Macaca fascicularis: one gene and its partners. The protein of the gene in region 3 interacts with the protein of the main gene of each other region in a pairwise test. Links are inferred from orthologs where the notes say so. Each region holds a gene or a part of one and is shown on either strand. Other genes may lie near its edges.

The links.
Region 1: the proteins of STAU1 (region 3) and NXT1 interact in binary tests that used the Homo sapiens proteins (3 or more experiments, as listed by UniProt). The two-hybrid records come from large-scale screens. The link is inferred for Macaca fascicularis from reciprocal best matches to the Homo sapiens genes STAU1 and NXT1.
Region 2: the proteins of STAU1 (region 3) and LONRF1 interact in binary tests that used the Homo sapiens proteins (3 or more experiments, as listed by UniProt). The two-hybrid records come from large-scale screens. The link is inferred for Macaca fascicularis from reciprocal best matches to the Homo sapiens genes STAU1 and LONRF1.
Region 4: the proteins of STAU1 (region 3) and PPP1CA interact in a two-hybrid assay, tested with the Homo sapiens proteins (2 studies listed by BioGRID and IntAct). The link is inferred for Macaca fascicularis from reciprocal best matches to the Homo sapiens genes STAU1 and PPP1CA.

What each region holds. Positions count from the first base shown.
Region 1 is NC_088384.1:63,954,641-63,959,597, forward strand, and holds the start of NXT1 (NTF2-related export protein 1), read right to left. Parts: upstream 3,314-4,957; 5' UTR 3,053-3,313; intron 138-3,052; 5' UTR 77-137; coding exon 1-76.
Region 2 is NC_088382.1:12,660,668-12,664,910, forward strand, and holds part of LONRF1 (LON peptidase N-terminal domain and RING finger protein 1), read right to left. Parts: coding exon 4,171-4,243; intron 1,748-4,170; coding exon 1,589-1,747; intron 1,479-1,588; coding exon 1,316-1,478; intron 1-1,315.
Region 3 is NC_088384.1:105,175,396-105,179,595, forward strand, and holds the end of STAU1 (double-stranded RNA-binding protein Staufen homolog 1), read right to left. Parts: intron 3,554-4,200; coding exon 3,468-3,553; intron 2,564-3,467; coding exon 2,548-2,563; 3' UTR 1,016-2,547; downstream 1-1,015. UniProt on the Homo sapiens protein: Binds double-stranded RNA (regardless of the sequence) and tubulin.
Region 4 is NC_088388.1:6,974,139-6,979,006, reverse strand, and holds the start of PPP1CA (serine/threonine-protein phosphatase PP1-alpha catalytic subunit), read right to left. Parts: upstream 3,108-4,868; 5' UTR 3,032-3,107; coding exon 2,977-3,031; intron 2,451-2,976; coding exon 2,319-2,450; intron 2,170-2,318; coding exon 1,939-2,169; intron 911-1,938; coding exon 806-910; intron 463-805; coding exon 239-462; intron 156-238; coding exon 21-155; intron 1-20. UniProt on the Homo sapiens protein: Protein phosphatase that associates with over 200 regulatory proteins to form highly specific holoenzymes which dephosphorylate hundreds of biological targets.

The DNA of each region.
Region 1 (4,957 bases), about 41 Mb from region 3:
TGTAGTAGACGTTGACAAACTCCTCAGCAGCTCTGCAGGCCTGATCCACGTAGGTCTTGAAATCCACAGATGCCATTTCTGGTTCTATGGAAGAAGGGCTCCACCAGGGTATTTCCTCTGCCTTGGGGAATCAGGGGCTGCAGGGAAGTAAGGTTGAAGAGAACCCATGTGAATGCCAAAGTTCATTCTGCCCTGACAATGGAACATTCCTCCTTTTCTACTACTGGCAAAATAGTTACAGACTGCAGAACAATGACTGTAGGCTCAAATAGTACCCAACACCTAAATGTCTAATTTTACCAAGCCTCAGTTTGCTCATTGTTAAGATGGGATTACCACTGTGGCAAACTGAGACAGTATACATTGTGTTTAGTTAAAAACATTTAGTTATAGTCAGCACTCCATATCTGAGGGTTTTGCATCCACAGATTCAAGCAACCTCAGGGCGAAACCTGCAAATATATTGGGCTGACTGTGCTATGCCATTTTGTTTTTGTTTTTGAGACTGAGTCTCACTCTGTCACCCAGGCTGGAGTGCAGTGGCATGATCTCGGCTCACTGCAATCCCCCACCTCCGAGGTTCAAGGGATTCTCTTGCCTCAGCCTCCCAAGTAGCTGGGACTACAGGTGCCCACCGCCACGCTTGGCTAATTTTTGTATTTTTAGTAAAGACAGGGTTTCGCTATGTTGGCCAGTCTGGTCTCAAATTCCTGACCTCAGGTGATCTGCCCGCCTCAGCCTCCCAAAGTGCTGGGATTACAGTCATGAGCCACCGTGCCTGGCCTTAACGCCATTTTATATCAAGAACTTGGAGCATCAGCAGATTTGGTCTGTTGCAGGGGTAGGGGGACTGCTGGAATCAATTCCCAGAGGATGAGGAGGGCTGACTGGACCATTAATTTTTTAAATCACACTTTATAAAATAGAGTACATTTGACTATGGAAGGCCACTCTTTCCTGAATGCTTGCAACAGACATGACTGCCCCTTGGTAAAGACAGTGGACCATTTAGAAGGGAAGAGTGGTCACTGGCTCAATAAAGGCCAACCAAACCAACGAAATGCTCGTCAGCTGCTGAGTCTGGGAAAGTCTATCATGGAGCTCACTCAAGAGGAACCAGGAGGGCAGAGAAGGCAGGTTTCTTAAGAGGGTAGAAACACAAATGACATGAGGACAGAACCAAAATGGCAGCCATAATCCCCATGGTAAACTGGAAGCAGCAAATCTCTTGGGTGAGTGGGGATTAGAAGGGAGGACACCCAGCTTACATAGGTACTAATATCCACCACATCAGTCCTGTGGAGCCACAGTGCCTCCACAGAAAGACATGTTAAATTTCAAAGTTCTTGGGTGTGTGGGCACAGAATGTGTACTATAGCTGAAATGTCACACTGTCCCCCCAATAAAAAAGTAAAAAGCATAAAAAAAAATTGACATTTACTTTTTTCAGGGTACAGGTACAACTGTTACGTTATTTTCTCCATAATTAAAATATTTCACTTAAAATAGAAGACATTACTAAAATACTGGATTACTAAAATAGAGGACATTACTAAAATAGTTTATACTTACAAACTTAAATAGTGATTTTTTTTTTTTTCATTTCAAAAAAAGACCTTTTTTTTAAATGATTAGCTTATGAAAGCGATAAAACATTCCACATAGGGCTGGAAAGAGCCAGGTTCTTTTAACGGCTGCAAAGGTGGTGCATTGCCTCTGGTAAAGGGCTGGCTGGGAGGGAAGCTGTCCTAAAAATGAGCAGTTAAGAGCCAATTTCAGACCTGGGTCTTTCCACGCCCTCCACAGACCTCAAAGTGAAGCCTCAACTGTACTCTGAACTAAGTACAGCGGTCCTTCGGTATCTGTGAGGAACTGTATTCAGGACCCCCGAGGATACCAACACCTGCTGATGCTGAAGTCCCTGATAGAACGGTGTACTGTTTGATACAACGTATGCGCAGCATCCTCCTATGTACCTTAATCACCTGTAGGTAACTTATAACACCTAATACAATGTAGAAGGGATGTAAATAGTTGTTATACTGTATAGTTTAGGAAATAATGACAAGAAAAAAAAGCCTCTACATGTTCAGTACAAAGGCATTTTTCTTTTTCTGAAGAGTATTTTTGATTTGAGGTTGGTTGAATCCACCCCACGCGGAACCCACGAAGAAGCAGCGCTGTGTTTGCTAAGAGCTTCACATATATTACCTCATTTAAATGTCACCACAAATGAATGAAAAAGGTATTACTATAACAATTTTACAAATGAGAAAAGGGAAACCTAGGGCTGGATCAAGGTAATGACGGTTAAGAGCATTCCTGATCTATCATTTACAAGACTAGACTGAGGGCTGAAATTTTGTCAAGACGATGCTGTCCTTTTACTCGCGTAAGCAAGTCTCCATGAGGACAACTCCAGGACTGCCGGAGTGGGAATTTTCTCCCAGGGACCCCATTTCTCTTTGGCTGGAATTCCCGATCTCCACCTCACTCCTCTTCCCTCCATGGCACCAGTCCCCCCATCATCTCAGAAATGCCCCTCTTCCCCGCCCCTGGCTGTCCTTCCAAACACAATCTAACAATTGGCCACGCCCCCACACTCCATAGAAGGACCATCTCCACTTTTGGTTCTCAGTTACCTATGGGGCTGTCAGCCCCGCTGCGTCAAATCAGAAAAAGAACCAGACCTTGAGGACTGGAGTAAGAGGCTGTGAAGATCGCCGCCTCCTCCCACGGCCCGCACCGTCGAGTGTCCAGAGCTGGACGGGAGAAGCTACCACAGTGGCATTTCCTGCGAGTCGCCTTTAATTCAAACCTAGACAGACGCACGCCCTGCCCTGCCCTCCTCAGACCCGAGAGCTGCTCTGCGAGGGGACGCGCCTCTCCTCATTGAAGAGAATTCGCTGCCACGCGTTTTGCACAGTAGAGAGGCAACTCTACCACGTGGACAAAGGTACAGCCGTGTCTTATTCCCGACAATGGAGGAGGGCGTGGGGTATGCACGAGAGGCTGTCTCCGGGGTCAGACCGCCGGGGGGACTGCAACCTACCTGCGCGGCGACGTCCAGGGTCAGCGCGGGCCGCTGCGCCCACGGTCGGGATGCCCCCCGCGCGGGCCGCAGCTCCACCGAGGGGCCGGCCGCGGAGGTCACAGGGTGGGCCCACCGAGGCCTCGGGTAGGGGCACGGGAAGAGCCGCCTTTCTTCCCTCCTCTTCCTTCTTGGAGGCTTACTCTGGGTCACCGGGGCCCCACAGCCTGGGGACTTTCCGGCGCAGTTCCGCGGCTTCCCGCGCGCTGCTAGCCGGACTCCGCGCAGACGCGAGCGCTCCGGCCCCGCCCCCTCTCGCATTCCCGTGACGGGCAGCGAGGTTAGCCAGTGGGACTGCGAGCCGGAAGGCTATCTCCGCCCGTGTGTGGCTTATAAGAGGTGGTAGCTTCCGGGAGTGTCACCTTCCCAGAAACCCCGGCAAATCCGCCGTCGAGTTTTTATTGGTCCAACAGGGTCACAGACCCCGGCCCGTCTGGTTAGGTGGGATCCCTGATTGGGCCAAACCTCTCAGGTCCCGCCCCTAGATCCTCGCTGTTCTTTCCGCTGCGAGGAGGCCGCTTGGCTGGAGAGGGAGGGGACGTTGTGTGGGGTTGGGTGAAGTGCTTTCACCTAGTCCCGCATGCCCTTGTATTGGAGTGATTTCAGTTAAAAGGCTCGTGAAACGTCACTACTTGATGCAGTCACGGCCAGCAGCAGCTGCCTGACCCAGCCGAGGCCTTCCGTATGGCAACATGTGAGGCGCCGCGGTGCTTGAGGCCACAGCGAGGGCAAGGCCGGCCGCGCCCTGTGGCATGCGCGTGGCGGAGTGCCTGAGCCGATCGCGCTCCTTAGGAGCTTAAGCCACTTAGAGGCGATGTCCTGGTGGACACAGAGAAAGCCAGTTTTAGTCACATGGGAAATGTAGCTAAGAGTGGGAGGAGACTGGGGCGAGGGTAGGACGTGGGTGAGGCGGGGGCTTGACGGCGGCTTCCCACTGCCCTGAGGCCTGAGGTGTCCCGGGAAACGCGGGCCCGTCAGGAGTTGGGATTCTGTTATTCCGCGTCCCTAGCTAAGTTTCAGCTGTTCTGGAATGAGGACTGGATTTTTACTGAACTTTACCAACAGGCTCAACAGGATATAACCATTCAGTGTGGAGGTTTGAGAAACTGTAGCTTGTAAATTAAAAGAAAAACCTCATTTCTTTAGACAACATTTTCAGCTCCATCTGCTGGTCTGAGGCTGAAAAATTAATTGCAAAGCCAGGAGAGAACTGGGGCTAGATGAAGTGAAGTAGTTTAACCTGTGCTTTCTTGGCGTCCCATCGGCTCCCTTTGCTTGCATTCCTAAGAGAATCTTGGTCTCAGATTTCAGGACACATTGAAAACAGTTGGGCTGTTTAGTATAGGCCACCCCTCCCCCCCCCCGCTCCCTCCCCCCCACCCCACGCACACACTTCAGTTAAGTAGGTGGAGAGTTTGGATTATTAAAAGGACAAGTTGGAGGCTGAGCAGAGAGGGTGAAGGAGCATTTGCGGTGCTTTATGAACTGAAATGACTTTATGAACCCCAAGGCAGTGATACTTGGATTGATCTAAATCGGCATGGATGGAATGGAAGTGGGAATGAGAGTTGATCTACTGCACGCTCAGTAGTTTGGATGTTGTGCTGCTTTTGTTTCATATATAATAAGTCCCTTTCATTTCTTTCACATAACTTATTGGGGGAGGTACCATTATTTCTGATTTCATAGACAAAGAGGCTGACAAAGAACCATCCTGGTGTCACAGGGTCAATTCATACCTAGAAAAGCTGGTTAGAAGAACATTAGGACGTTAGAAGAACGTTAATGAAGCTCCAAGGCCTTTTAAAAATGCGAGACTTTAGCCTTGAGAGGCAGCTGTTCTGCCTTGTAGGTTTGTGGGGTCTG
Region 2 (4,243 bases), on a different chromosome or scaffold from region 3:
ACATGTTTATAAGTATTAATACATATAGTCATGTAATTTAGCCATATACTCAAGTGATTTTGTCATCAAATCCAATATGTGAAGACATAACTTTACATGAAACTGAAATAGGGTTATTAACTTTACAAAGGAGAACCTTTAGCAAGTGATTCCATTAATTAAGTATGCTTAAGGTTGGCACAGATTATACCAATCAACTCAAAATTTCAACTTACACAATACTTTTGGCCAACTGCACAGGGCAAAGTACCCCAATGCATTTTTATAATAAGATAGGACAGCCAACGTCAGACTAATCAGGTTTATCAGCAGAGAGCCAAATGGCATAATGCTAAAGCTCAGAGCCTGAGTCAGAGAGTTTGCTTTAATCATTTTTGTTACATTATAGGATCTTAGGCAAATTAACACCTCTGAATTATACTTTCCTCATCTACTATTTCATAGAGTTGTGAAAATTCTATGAGTTAATGTTTGTGAAAATACCTAATGCCAATATCCAATAAATGTTAACTGAAATGAAGGGCCTAAACAGATCAATGAACAAGTGACGGGATAAGATCTGTTTTTATAATGCCTTTCCAAAAGAAATTGCCTTCAATTTGGTATTTATAGCATCACAAGTCATTTTTCTGGTTCCTAAACTAACTGCAGTAGGTAAACTGGGTATTGCAAACATCAAAAGGGCCACATTAACCCTATTCTAGAAAGACATCACAAAACCGCTACCCTGCTAAGATATCACCAACATGTACACTGACAGTGCTTTCTATGTCTGCCCCAGGGTCTTCACACAGCATTCAACTCTATTTTATCATTAAGGTTATCTTAGGCACAAGAACAATCTGAGTATATAAAACAATTCCTACAAGACTTGATGTGTTTACATTTACATGAAGTTTCAATCTACTAATTCCATCAGCTTCAACTACTAATACATTCAATAAAACAGGGCAGAAATGTAAACCTTTCAAAACTTAGATGGGCTGGAAGTTCAACTTAACCACTATTAAGTACCTATCATGTGTATACACACATGCACATGTGTACATATACACATACATTCTAGGGCACTGGGCTGGTTGTTAAGCCTGTAGAAATAAAGAGAATCTATGTTCTAGTCTTCCAAGTTCTCTCAGAATGTGCAACAATTGCAGAGCAAGATACGAAAAAGGTAACTTGGAGCGCATTCTCAACAGTGGTAAGGCTCTCTGATAAGAAGAACTGGTTCATGCGCCTAGAAAATAGCCTGCATGCCTGTACCAATCCCTGGAACAGGATACACTAAAGTATGCTGGCAAAGCACATTTTAAAATACCTTAACATCTTCCAGATATTCAATGTCGGCAGTGCAATATCCATCTTTCATTCCTCTTTTTAAAACCCTAAACCGCTTTCCTCCAACTGTATCAACCACAGACCTTCCATCAGGTAAGAAATGCACATTTCTAATTTGTAACATACAACCATAATCTGCAAAACTAAAAGAAAACCTTGATTAGTAACAAAGTGGAAACATAAACATGCAAGTTCTCATCCATATTGACAGGTCTAACATAAATACAAATATTTTAGTTCACAAAAAGCATACCTATTTTGTGTATCACTGACACACATGCCAAACTGTTTGGTTCCAGTCTGTATACTTCTTCGAATCATCAATCTATATCTTGGCTCAAATACATGGAGAGGGCAAGGCACAGTGGGGTAGGCCATAGTGCAAACAAATATTGGAACATTCTTGGTCAAGCTGAGGGAAAAACAGTTTAATTATTGAGTTCATACAAGAAAAATATTACCAAACACACACAAAAAATGAGTGAGGTTTATAACAGTAATGAACTAATGTAAAACAAAAAAAGAATAAGTTCTAAATAAGGTGGTTTTTATTCTTGGCAAGAACAAGAATCAGCACCCCGTTCATTAAGCTCACACTGATGAAATATTAATACTAAAAATCTGCTGTGATCCTCTTACTTATAAGAGTAAATTGAATTTTAAGACACCAGATTATCTTACAGAGCTAAGTATCTTTATGAATCAATTTATTATAATATTTTATATTAAAATCTGTTTAAATATTTATAACATATGACAATAAATATCTTTTATCCAAACACTTATAGTTACTCTTAGATAACAGTAAGAAAAAGTGAACTCCCACAACAGACAAAAAGCAAATAATTAAAAATTCTTAGGCATTAAAGTATTTTCAAACGCAAGATCAGAAAACATATTCTGATGAGATAACATTTTTTCCAAGTAATTAAAATGATATAACATTTTTCATTGCCAGAGTGGTAGAAAGAAAGAGAAGGATAAAGGCAATGCCCAGTCCTGTCTTAGATATGGGAAAACTGGCAGCATGGGGGCAGTCTGAAACAGCACAGGCACACTAAAGAACATGGCTACAGACAGCAGAAACCTTATGTTGTTGGCAGGAAATGTTCATGTTCTTGGAACCAACCAGCTTATTTTCAGACATGAGTGGACAAGTGCTACATGAATGTTCACTGTAGCAATGTAGGTAGTAACCAAAATGTAGAAGCATAAAGAGGAGACTAGTAAGATCAATTATGGTACATCGGTAAAACAGAATACTATGTTTCCATTAAAAGATGATGTGTATGAACTGAATTAGAAGAAATGCTTCTATCAATGAGAGGAACAGGTTTTAGATATAGATCATGAATAACATGATCCCACCTTTGTGTAAAGCCTGTTTATACATACTGCATTCAAGTTTGGAAATACGTATGTCAAAATGCCAATAGTTGATTCCCTTTGGGTTGCAGATTATGGCTTTTTTTAAAATGCTCATTTGTATTTTTGAGTTTTTTTCAAAATGACCATCAATTACTTATATACACATAAGATGAAACATGTGTAAAATATGTATTTTAAAAAACAGCCCCATTAGTAAGCAGCTGGACACCCTGACGCTTCTCTTCTCTCCAACACGCAGCTCTCTGTGTGTGACTCCCTCCTCTGTCCTTTGAGTCTACCACTCCTCTGTGGGCGGGCTGGTTGTGTCACTGTGTTTAAATTTTCAAAAGTAAAACTGCAGCTTTCTTAAATCTAGATGCTTCAGCATTGATCAGAAAGGTTCATGATTGTCACATCAGAGTATTTTGTAAATCACACAATAAAATACCAATTCTGTAAGAAGACAAATCAATATCTATTTCTATAAAGAAAAGAGTGGCAATCTTTCTTCTACGGAGGGCCCCTGGCTCACTGAAGACATCTGATGGACACATGTTGAAAAAGGAGAGTCTACAAGCACAGCTTTTGTTAGAAAGTGACATATAAAATGTTCAATTTATATTTTGAAAAGTAATGGAAACAAAAAGTTGTTAAATAAATAAAACAGCATACAAAAATTATAATTTTGCTTTTTAGTGTGTTCAATTAAAAGAGAGTAAAAGAAATAAAGAAATTTAAAACCCATGAATAAAATTTAAAGAGACCCAAGTGACTGGTCAGAGGGAAAGACATTTAGGGAAAAGAAAGGGAGAAAAATGGGAAAGAAAAACAGAAAAGAGACAACGAGCAATGCCTTGCCCTGCCTACCCAGCTCCATCAGCTGCTGTGTTCTCTGCGGAGTGGTCTGAATTACCAAATCCCAAAGTTACCTCTGAGATTTTCACCCTCCCGACACCAACTCAGTTGTGCTCCCAGTCAGTATCTTCATTAAGGGAGGATTTGGCCCTGAACACCTCTCTTCCAATTTCAATCTCAGATCTCAAAGTTTGGAAAGCCCCTTCCGGGCCTCCATGTGACAGAAAATCCCCTGCCAATCTAGGTTACTGACCCTAGACCTTCCTCTCGCCCTACTATGACACATGAGAGCTGCCATCACCACCAATGTCACTGTCACTGGCGCCCCCTCTCTATTTCCCATTCCACTGCCTGATGGCACTGTAGGAAATTCCTCCTCCGCCTAAAATACTGCTTCAGCCCACAGAGCTGAGTCAACCACTCCCTGTAAAACATCCGGATGTTACCAAGTGAACTTTTATAAAATTCTGTCTGTTGAGGACCACAGAAACTGACCAGTACTTCTTGACTAGACTGAGATGAACTACAGACAGGATCCAGCTTGCGGTGAGGTTTTCCCTTACTATTAAAGGGTAGTAGTTCATAATTTTTTTTTTATGAGAAGAAACTTACTGTGAGAGTTCAGCAGTTTCTTCATCATATATTTTTTTTCTCTCAGACAGTTCATCAGGCAGATACTTCACTA
Region 3 (4,200 bases):
CGACCAGCCTGGCCAACATGGTGAAATCCCATCTCTACTAAAAATACAAAAATTGGCCAAGCACAGTGGCACATGCCTGTGATCCCAGCTACTTGGGGAGGGAGGCTGAGGCAGGAGAATTGCCTGAACCCAGGAGGAGGAGGCTGCAGTGATTCGAGATCTCACCACTGCACTCCAGCCTGAGCGACAAGAGCCAGACTCTGTCTCAAAAAATAAAAATTAAAGAAAAACTTACTGTTTTTGAACTATAATTTTTTTACTGTAATATTTTAAACTTAATGCTCAATTAATTTGAGTGTGTTACCAAAGTTGCCTCAGGCCACCCCTTCTTCAATGGAGTGAGTTTTTATAAACAAGTCAGAGACACAAAAGATCACACTGGTCGGCTTCCAGTGTCGCTGCCACCACGTACACTCCCTGCGAAAGTGCATCAAGTCAGGGCCCCAGGCTCAGCTGCTCGAAGAACCTTCAGTCTGGGGGAGGGTTGTGATGTGAGTCACAGGTCCATGAATCCTTTTTTTGTTGTTTCTAAAGATGTAAAGACACTTTTTCTCCTTTCATTGCTTTTATCCTCAAAATGTTGCATTTCCTTCTGCCCTTAGCGTTTTCCATAACCTTCTGATCACTTTCAATTATTCTGGCAGTACACTCATCGGCTGGATTTATAGTGAAACCTTTACAATCTTCTTCCACTTCTTCTAAAATTAAGAAACGAAAACCAACTAGCCCACCCCTCAACCAGGCTGGAACGCATGTCCTCCTCAGTACTCAGTATGGTGAGAGATGAGGGTGCCCTGGGAAGTGTCCGGCAGTCTCCCCTCAGATCCTTGGGGTCATTTCTTTGGGTAGCAATGTCAGGTCTGGACGGGGCACAAGTCCCTACATCCAGGTACCCAACATGCCTGAGAGGCAGCAACGGTTCCCGCAGGGGCTGGCCCTGGTCCCCCACGACGAGCTTCCATCCCCTTACTCACATCTTCCCTTATTTTAGTTACTGCTCAACAGGACCAAACACTTCATTAGTAGCTGTTTATTGATCAATGGTTTGATATAAAGTTATTTCAGATCTTCAGATTTTTGCCCAGATGGAATCACAAGCATTACAAAGTTTTTTCTTAAAAATAAAAAAAGGATAGGGGCAAGTTGGGAGGGGACCAACCTAGCAGTAGTGGCATTTGAGAATAAATTAACAAAAAAAATTTAGTATTACCATTTATTGGTGACAAACACTAAGTTTTACTTACATTCCATGGGGAGAAAAATTCCAGCGTAAACAATGAATGGAAGCAGTACTTAACTCGCAGGGCTACCAGGCTTTCCATATGGACCACACGCAGAGCCTCAGTGCACACACTTCTGTGTACAATAACACAACATCAAAAGCAACACAGCTGTATAGAGAAATGTAGGTCATTCTTTTCAGCCCTAATGGAGATGTAATTAACAGTATCGAGCACTCTGGAAAATCAGTCTGCAGGTTTATATGGACTACATGGAGATCATATCCTGTAGTGTAGTGAAAGCTAAGTCCTCAAGAGCTGTATGTATAGATACACAATTTTTTTTAATAATCTTTAAAACAGAGATCAAAGTTCATTTAAGTCCTGTTTGCATTAACAAAAATAAAAAAGAAATAAAAATGGAACCAAATGATCATCTAAAGTTTAAAATTCCTAAATTGTCCAATTTATACAACTGTGGGAGACTTATTCAAGGTTTTTGAAAGTCCAGGACTGTTTCAGCAGAACCAGAGGGCACACAATTTGCATCACTGAAATTGTCCTGGGTTAGTCAATTAAATAAAAATATCTAACCACATACACATGGATATGATCTTTGTCGGTTAGATTATTGATAAAGTCAGTCTCAGACAAGTTTCCAAACTGTGCTATATAACTAGATACAATTGAGAAACTCTCAAATGAAAATTTTATATAGTGTCATATCAATCAAAAGAAAATAATGAAACTAAGAATACAGATCACTGTTGGAAGATAAAGCAGTGGTGATGGTGTGGGTACTGCAGGAGGTGGTGGGGCCATAGCACGCTAGAAAAGTTGGGTCACGCTGAGTAGGAAGCATTTGATTTTCTCTGGTGCTTTTAGCTCTGGGGCCGGTCAAAGGCCTCTCTCTGGCATGGCTGTCCAGGGTTTGTCCCAATGTGTCTGAGTGAGCCAGCCTGAGAAAGGGTCATGCTGTTTCTTCTTTCACACAGGGGGAAAAAAAGACCAAACACGGAGGTGCCCAGGGTGTGGATCTGCTGGTGTCCCGGGAGAACCAGCTGGCTGGGCAGCCCTTCTTCCCCACAGGCAGCTGCTATTGCATAGGGACCACCAGGTCACCGAGTGGCCGTCACAACCCCAGCACAGTCCAGCCCGGCCACAGCCGCCGCCTCGTGTCTGTTGTCTTCCCTGCTGCTGCCCACATCCTTTACCCACCGTGTCTCTCGGCCCACTGGAGGTATCAGAAATTCCAAATTTTCAAAGCAGTTTCAGTATTTTCAGTATATATGTTGGGATTTTTTAATGGTTCATGGCCAGAAAAGGTTCAGCACCTCCCACACCTTTAAGGAAGAAAAATGAAAATGATGCTAGTTTTGAAATGTAAGAGAATTAAAGTACTATTAAAAATGAAAAGAAATTGGCAAGCATCAGGAAGTACAATATACAATACTAAAAGCCCCAGTTTATGATAACAAAAGTTTTCCCAGGATATGCCAGTAAATAAAATAAGCAAGGAGAGTGTGTGTATTTGCTATCTCTGCGGGGGGAAAGGAAAAAAATGAGGGAAGAAATATATGTCTATATTTGCATAAAGAAACATACAGGAAAGATACAGGAGAAACTAGTAAAAATGTGATCTATGGGGGAGGCAGTGGGAAGAATAGGAGGGATGGGATGGGGGCTGTCTGAGGAGAAGATTGTACCTTGTAAAATAAAAGAGAGCTCTGACCATGTGAAGGTATGACCGACTCAAAAAGGTAAAAAGGTTTTTTTTGTTGTTGAGACAAAGAGTCTTGCTCTGTCGCCTAGGCTGGAGTGCAGTGGTGCTATTTTGGCTCACTGCAACCTCCACCTCCCAGGTTTTAAGTAGTTCTCTGCCTCAGCCTCCCGAGTAGCTGGGATTACAGGTATTTGCCACCACACCCAGCTAATTTTTGTATTTTTAGTAGAGACAGGGTTTCACCATCTTGGCCAGGCTGGTCTTGAACTCCTGACACCTCATGATCCACCCACCTCGGCCTCCCAAAGTGCTGGGATTACAGGCGTGAGCCACTGTGCCCAGCCTCAAAATGTTTTTTAAAAGTAGAGCTCTCTGCCCAGAGAATTTGGAAACCTTTCAGGCAAAAGGGCCAGAAAGTAACTCAGGCAAATATTTCCCCGCTGAGTCAGCAGATGGTGTGAACTCAACACAAACGAGGGGCAGCCTCCCCATCATCAGTGCCTCCCCTTCATCAGTGCACTCACACAGACATTGGTCCGTTTCCTGTTCTTGGCATCTCTGTACTTTGTTGGTCCAACTCAGACAGCAACTTTAAGATGTTCAGCGCAGCCTAGTGGGGATGGAAAGAAGAGTAAAGCCACAGCCATCACTTGGGACCACAGCATGATACACTGGTTAGGCAGGCAAGAGTTCCTGCTGCCCAGCAAACAGGTGGCAACTTCTTAAACTCTTGTACTACTAAATAAAACTTTGAATTTTTAATTTAAAATACAAATTTAAAAAATACTCAGTTACCTCATTGAATCATAACCTCTGAAAATGTTGTATTTTGCCTTCTAGTATTTTTAGCCTTGTGGTAACCAGACTGTATAAATGTTATATCCTGCTTTCTAACAAAAATCTATCATGTATTTTTCTTTCTACAGAGACAGGGTCTCACTAAGTTAAGTTGCCCAGGCTGGGCTCAAACTCCTAGGCTCAAGCGATCCTCCCAAAGTGCTGGGATTACAGGTGTAAGCCTCCACACCCGGCCTATCATGTATTTTTCTTATTACGTTATCTTCAGAGACACTGTTTTGTTGTTTTGTTTTGAAACAGAGTCTCACCCAGTTGCCCAGGCTGGAGTGCAGTAGTGCGATCTTAGCTCACTGCAACCTCCACCTCTTGGGTTCAAGCGATTCTCCTACCTTGTCTCCCAAGTAGCTGGGATTACAGGCGCCCACCACCACACCTGGCTAATTTTTTTGTATTTTTAGT
Region 4 (4,868 bases), on a different chromosome or scaffold from region 3:
CCTTTCTTCCCCACACTCACCTGGAAGGAGCACATGAGGGTCTCGTCCACGCTCATCATGGCGCCAGCATTGTCAAACTCGCCACAGTAGTTGGGAGCTGAGAAAAGTGTCACCAGCTGCCGCTTGGCAAAGAACTCATAGCCATCTTCTACCACCTGGGTGAGGATCGGAGCAGTCAGTCCCAAGTGCAGGCAAGGCCCTCCCCTTCCCCCACCACAGACGGGAGCCACCAGCCCACCTGGTGTGCTCGGCAGATGAGGTCCAAGTCGTGCTTGTGGAGGAACTTGGCCACCACCTCGGCTCCAAAAGTAAAAGAGACGCCACGGTCGTTCTCGCCCCAGCCCTGCACGTCCTTGTCAGGGTCAGACCAGAGCAGGTCACACAGCAGGCCCTGGTCAGGCACGTCTGTGGGCCGCATGATCCGCCGAATCTGCTCCATGGACTGCAGGTCCGGGGAGAGGCCTGGAGGGCCAGAAGGAAGGTCACTTCCTCAAACAAGGACATCCTTCCTCCAGGAAGCCTTGGCCAGTGAGCCTCACTTTTCCACCACCCTCCTGGTCCCTCCACTGGTCTCCTGGGTGCCCAGGCAGGCAGAAGCCATCCCCTTCCCCTCAGCTTTTTCAAGTTCCCAAACAGGCACAAAGGCGCCCCTGGCCTCCGGAGCACAGAGCTCCTGGGAGAAAGGAGACAAGCCCGCCCCATGTAGAATGCACATCAAGGAAGTGAGTGCAGCCCAGCACAGGGGGGTATGGGAGACACTTCCTGAAAGGAGTGACTTCCCAGATGACAACTAAGGAGAGCTCACCTCCGTGGCAGCAAAAGATCTTTTCGTCCACTATGGCCGCAATGGGCAGGCAGTTGAAGCAGTCAGTGAACGTTTTCCACAGTTTGATGTTGTAGCGTCTCTTGCCTGCCCAGAGGGAGGTAGCTGTGAGGGGTCTGCCTGCTCCACCCTTAGCCGGGGTCTCTGGGCTATTCAGCCGCAGATGGGAGAGAGTCAGGCACCAATGCAAACCACCCCCACCCCTGCCGCCTGTCAGCCTTCCAGGAGTAATTCTAGTTACTTTTTATTTTAATTTGTAATTTAAACAAACAGGATCTGGGCAGGGCATGGTGGCTCACACCTGTAATCCCAGCACTTTGGGAGGCTGAAGCAGGCAGATCACCTGAGGTCAGAAGTTCAAGACCAGCCTGACCAACATGGAGAAACCCTGTCTCTACTAAAATACAAAAAAATTAGCCAGGCGTGGTGTCGCATGCCTGTAATCCCAGCTACTCGGGAGGCTGAGGCAGGAGAATCGCTTGAACCCGGGAGATGGAGGTTGTGGTGAACTGAGATCACACCACTGCACTCCAGCCTGGGCAACAAGAGCGAAACTCCGTCTCAAAAAAGTAAAGAAACAGGGTCTTGTTCAGTCACCCAGGCTGGAGTGCATTGGCAAGATCATAGCTCACTGTAACTTGGAGCTTCTGAGTCCAAGTGATCTTCCCGCCTCAGCCTCCCACCAGAAGTAATTCTAAAGCACCCGAGTCCACTGGAAACTGAGTTCCAATCTGGACCAGCCTCAGGGTTGGCACTCCTTGCACGCCCCGGCCCACGAGCCGGGCCAAGTACAGGTCTGGTTTATCTCAGCTTCTGGACAGCAGAGCTCATCTGCAAACATCCTAAATGCTTAGTAGCAAATGTAGAGGGAACGTCACCAGGCAGGGCCCTGGGGGAAAGCACTAGAATACGGACAGTCCTTCAGTCAGCAACCATTCCCCAGACCCCATGCCAGGAGGGGCAGGGCAGGCACAAGAACGGACCTGGGCCCTGCCTTCGTGGAGTGCACAGTCTTAGCAAGTGTCTGTCAGATATCAGGCCAATGTGAAGGTCCCACTGAATGACAAGGAGTGTGGTTCAGGACCCGGGCAGCCCCAGACGCTCAGACCACTCACACTCATCGTAGAAACCGTAGATGCGGTTGATGCTGGCGCACTCGTGGTTCCCACGGAGCAGGAAGAAGTTCTCGGGGTACTTGATCTTATAGGCCAGCAGCAGGCAGATGGTCTCCAAGGACTGCTTGCCCCTGTCCACATAGTCCCCCAGAAAGAGGTAGTTGCTCTCCGGAGGGAAACCGCCATACTCAAATAGTCGCAGAAGGTCATAGTACTGGCCGTGTATATCACCTGTGACCCAGGGAATCGGGTAAGCTAGATGCAGGGTCTAGACCTGAACCCAGGACCAGGACTGGGCTCAAGGGAGGAGGACTCCAGGAACTCTGTGGGGGCCAGTGCCACTTTCAGGAAAGCAAGGGGACCTGGGTCGGGGGGCTCACCGCAGATCTTGAGGGGTGCCTCCAGCTCCAGAAGAATGGGCTGGCTCAGGAAAATCTCCCGGGATTTCAGGCACAGGCCGCGGATCTCGTTCTCTGTCAGCTGTACATTCTTGCCAGGCCGCGAGCCCTGCACTGGGGGCGCAATGGGGTGTCAAGACCCGGGACCCTGACAGGAGGAGGGTGGGCGACACGGGTGGCCCCATGGATACCTCCGGGGGCGCCTAGGCCTCCTCGGCTGCTCCTTGCCCGCAGGCAGCTGTTGCTGCTGAGCCTCCCGGGACCTCGGCCTCAAGCCTCCCAAGGGAAGCCCCCAACTACCCTCAGCGCCTCGGGAGGCGACTGTCGTGCGCAGGGGGCTGCCACCCAAACACCTCACAGCGCAGGACCCCTTCCTGGACCGGGCTTCCCGGGTTTCTCCCTCGCCTCAAGAACCCAGGCAACCCGTGCGCCCCCGGCCCGGGAGAGGGGGCTGCTCCGCGCGTCGGAGCGGGCCCAGGACCTCTCAGGCGCGTCCGCGGGGGGGCGGCTGCGGCCACCGAACCTCGCGGCCCGTCCCCGCCCAGTCTAAGCTGGCCCCGGGGGCCCGCCCGCGCGCCACTTCCGGGCCCGGCAGGGGGCCCGGGAGCGGCGGACGCAGGCCTCCCCCGCCGCGACCAACCTTCTAGCAGGCGCCCGATGATCGAGTCAAGGTTGAGCTTCTCGCTATCGGACATGGCGGCGCCGCCGCTCCAGCCCAGCAGCTCCGGGCCCGCTCCTGCCTCCCGCCCTCCGGCAGCCTCCTTCCGGCCTGGCTCTCCTTCCGCCCGCCCCAGTCCGCCCCCGGCCCGCGGCCCCGCCTCCGGGCCTCCCGGGCCCGCCCCGCCCGGTCCCCCGCGCTCTAGCGCCCCCGCTGGACGTGAAGCGCCGCGGCCCGGGGGGCGGGGCCTTGGCGGCGGGCTGGGGGCGGGGTCTGTCGGGGGCGCGTCCAACTGGTTACGCCCCAGAGGAGGCGCCCAGCCCGGTTCAGAGGATGTGGGGCCGGAAGAACTGTGGAAGTTGTTTTTCTCTTTCAAAAGCAGAACAGCCGTTCCCACCCCTGCCCTGGGTGGAGGGTGTTGTGAACATATTAATAACCGGCTGCTAGGCACTGAGGGTTAACTGCTCGAAGTGCAGGAAAGGAAACTGAGGCTCAAGAGATATGAACAGACTGGTGCAAGACCTGGACCTCGCATTCACGTACGACCCCCTTTTTCGTGGGTCTCCGTGGCCCCCAGGCGGCTGACCACACTCAAAGACAGCTACGGCTGAACTTCCAGCGCACTTTGGTCCTTGGGGCATGATAAATTAATATTTTCTTACAAGTCCCATAATTAGCTTTTATTTATTTATTTTTTTTGAGACAGAGTTTTGCTTTGTCGCCTAAGCTGGAGTGCAGTGGCGCGACTTTGGCTCACTGCAACATTCGCTTCCCAGGTTCAAGGGGTTCTCCTGCCTCAGCCTCTGGAGTAGCTGGGATTGCAGGCGCGCGCCACTGCGCCTGGTTTTTGTGTGTTTAGCAGAGGTGGGGTTTCGCCATATTGGCCCGGCTGGTCTTGAACTCCTAACCTCAAGTGATCCACTGGCCTCGACCTCCCAAAGTCCTGGGGGGGTTACAGGCGTGAGCCAACAAGCCTGGCCCCATAATTAGCTTTTGAGTAGCACAGTAATATTGCAGGGTGTGCACGTAAAAAGAATTACTATATGAGCAGACATGGCTGGGTGCAGTGGCTCACGCCTGTAATTCCAGCGCTTTGGGAGGCTGAGGTGGGAGGATCGTTTGAGGTCAGGAGTTCAAGACCAGCCTGGCCAACATGGTGAAACCCCATCTCTCTAAAAATACAAAAAGTTAGCTGGGCATGATGGCAGCCGCCTGTAATCTCAGCTATTGGGGAGGCTGAGGCAGGAGAATCACTTGAACCTGGGAGGCGGAGGTTGCAGTGGGCCAAGGCCCATTGCACCCCCTAGCCGAGGTGACAGTGTGAGACTCTGTCTCAAAGGAGCAGACGATAAATTAACCTTAATTCTTGTTGGAACCCTGAGTTGGGTGCTTTACATGCCAGTAACCTCAGAACTGGAGGTGGGCCTGCTGTGGCGGCTTAGGCCTGTAATTCCAGCACTTTGGGAGGCTGAGGTGGGATGGTCTCTTGCGTCCAGCCTGGGCAACACGGCGAAACCTCATCTCAACAAAAAAATACAAAAATTAGCTGGGCATGGTGGTGCACGCCTGCAGTCCCAGCTACTAGGGAGGCTGAGGCAGGAGGATCTCTTGAGACCAGGAGGTGGGGGTTGCAGTGAGCCCAGATCCTGCCATTACACTCCAGCCTGGGTGACAGAGCATGACCCTCAAGAAACAAACACAAAGGCCAGGCGCGGTGGTTCATGCCTGTAATCCCAGCACTTTGGGAGGCAGAGGTGGGTAGATCACCTGAGGTCAGGAGTTTGAGACCAGCCTGGCCAATGTGGCAAAACCCTGTCTCTACTAAAAATACAAAAATTAGCCGGGCATGGTAGTGCATGTCTGTAGTTCCAGCT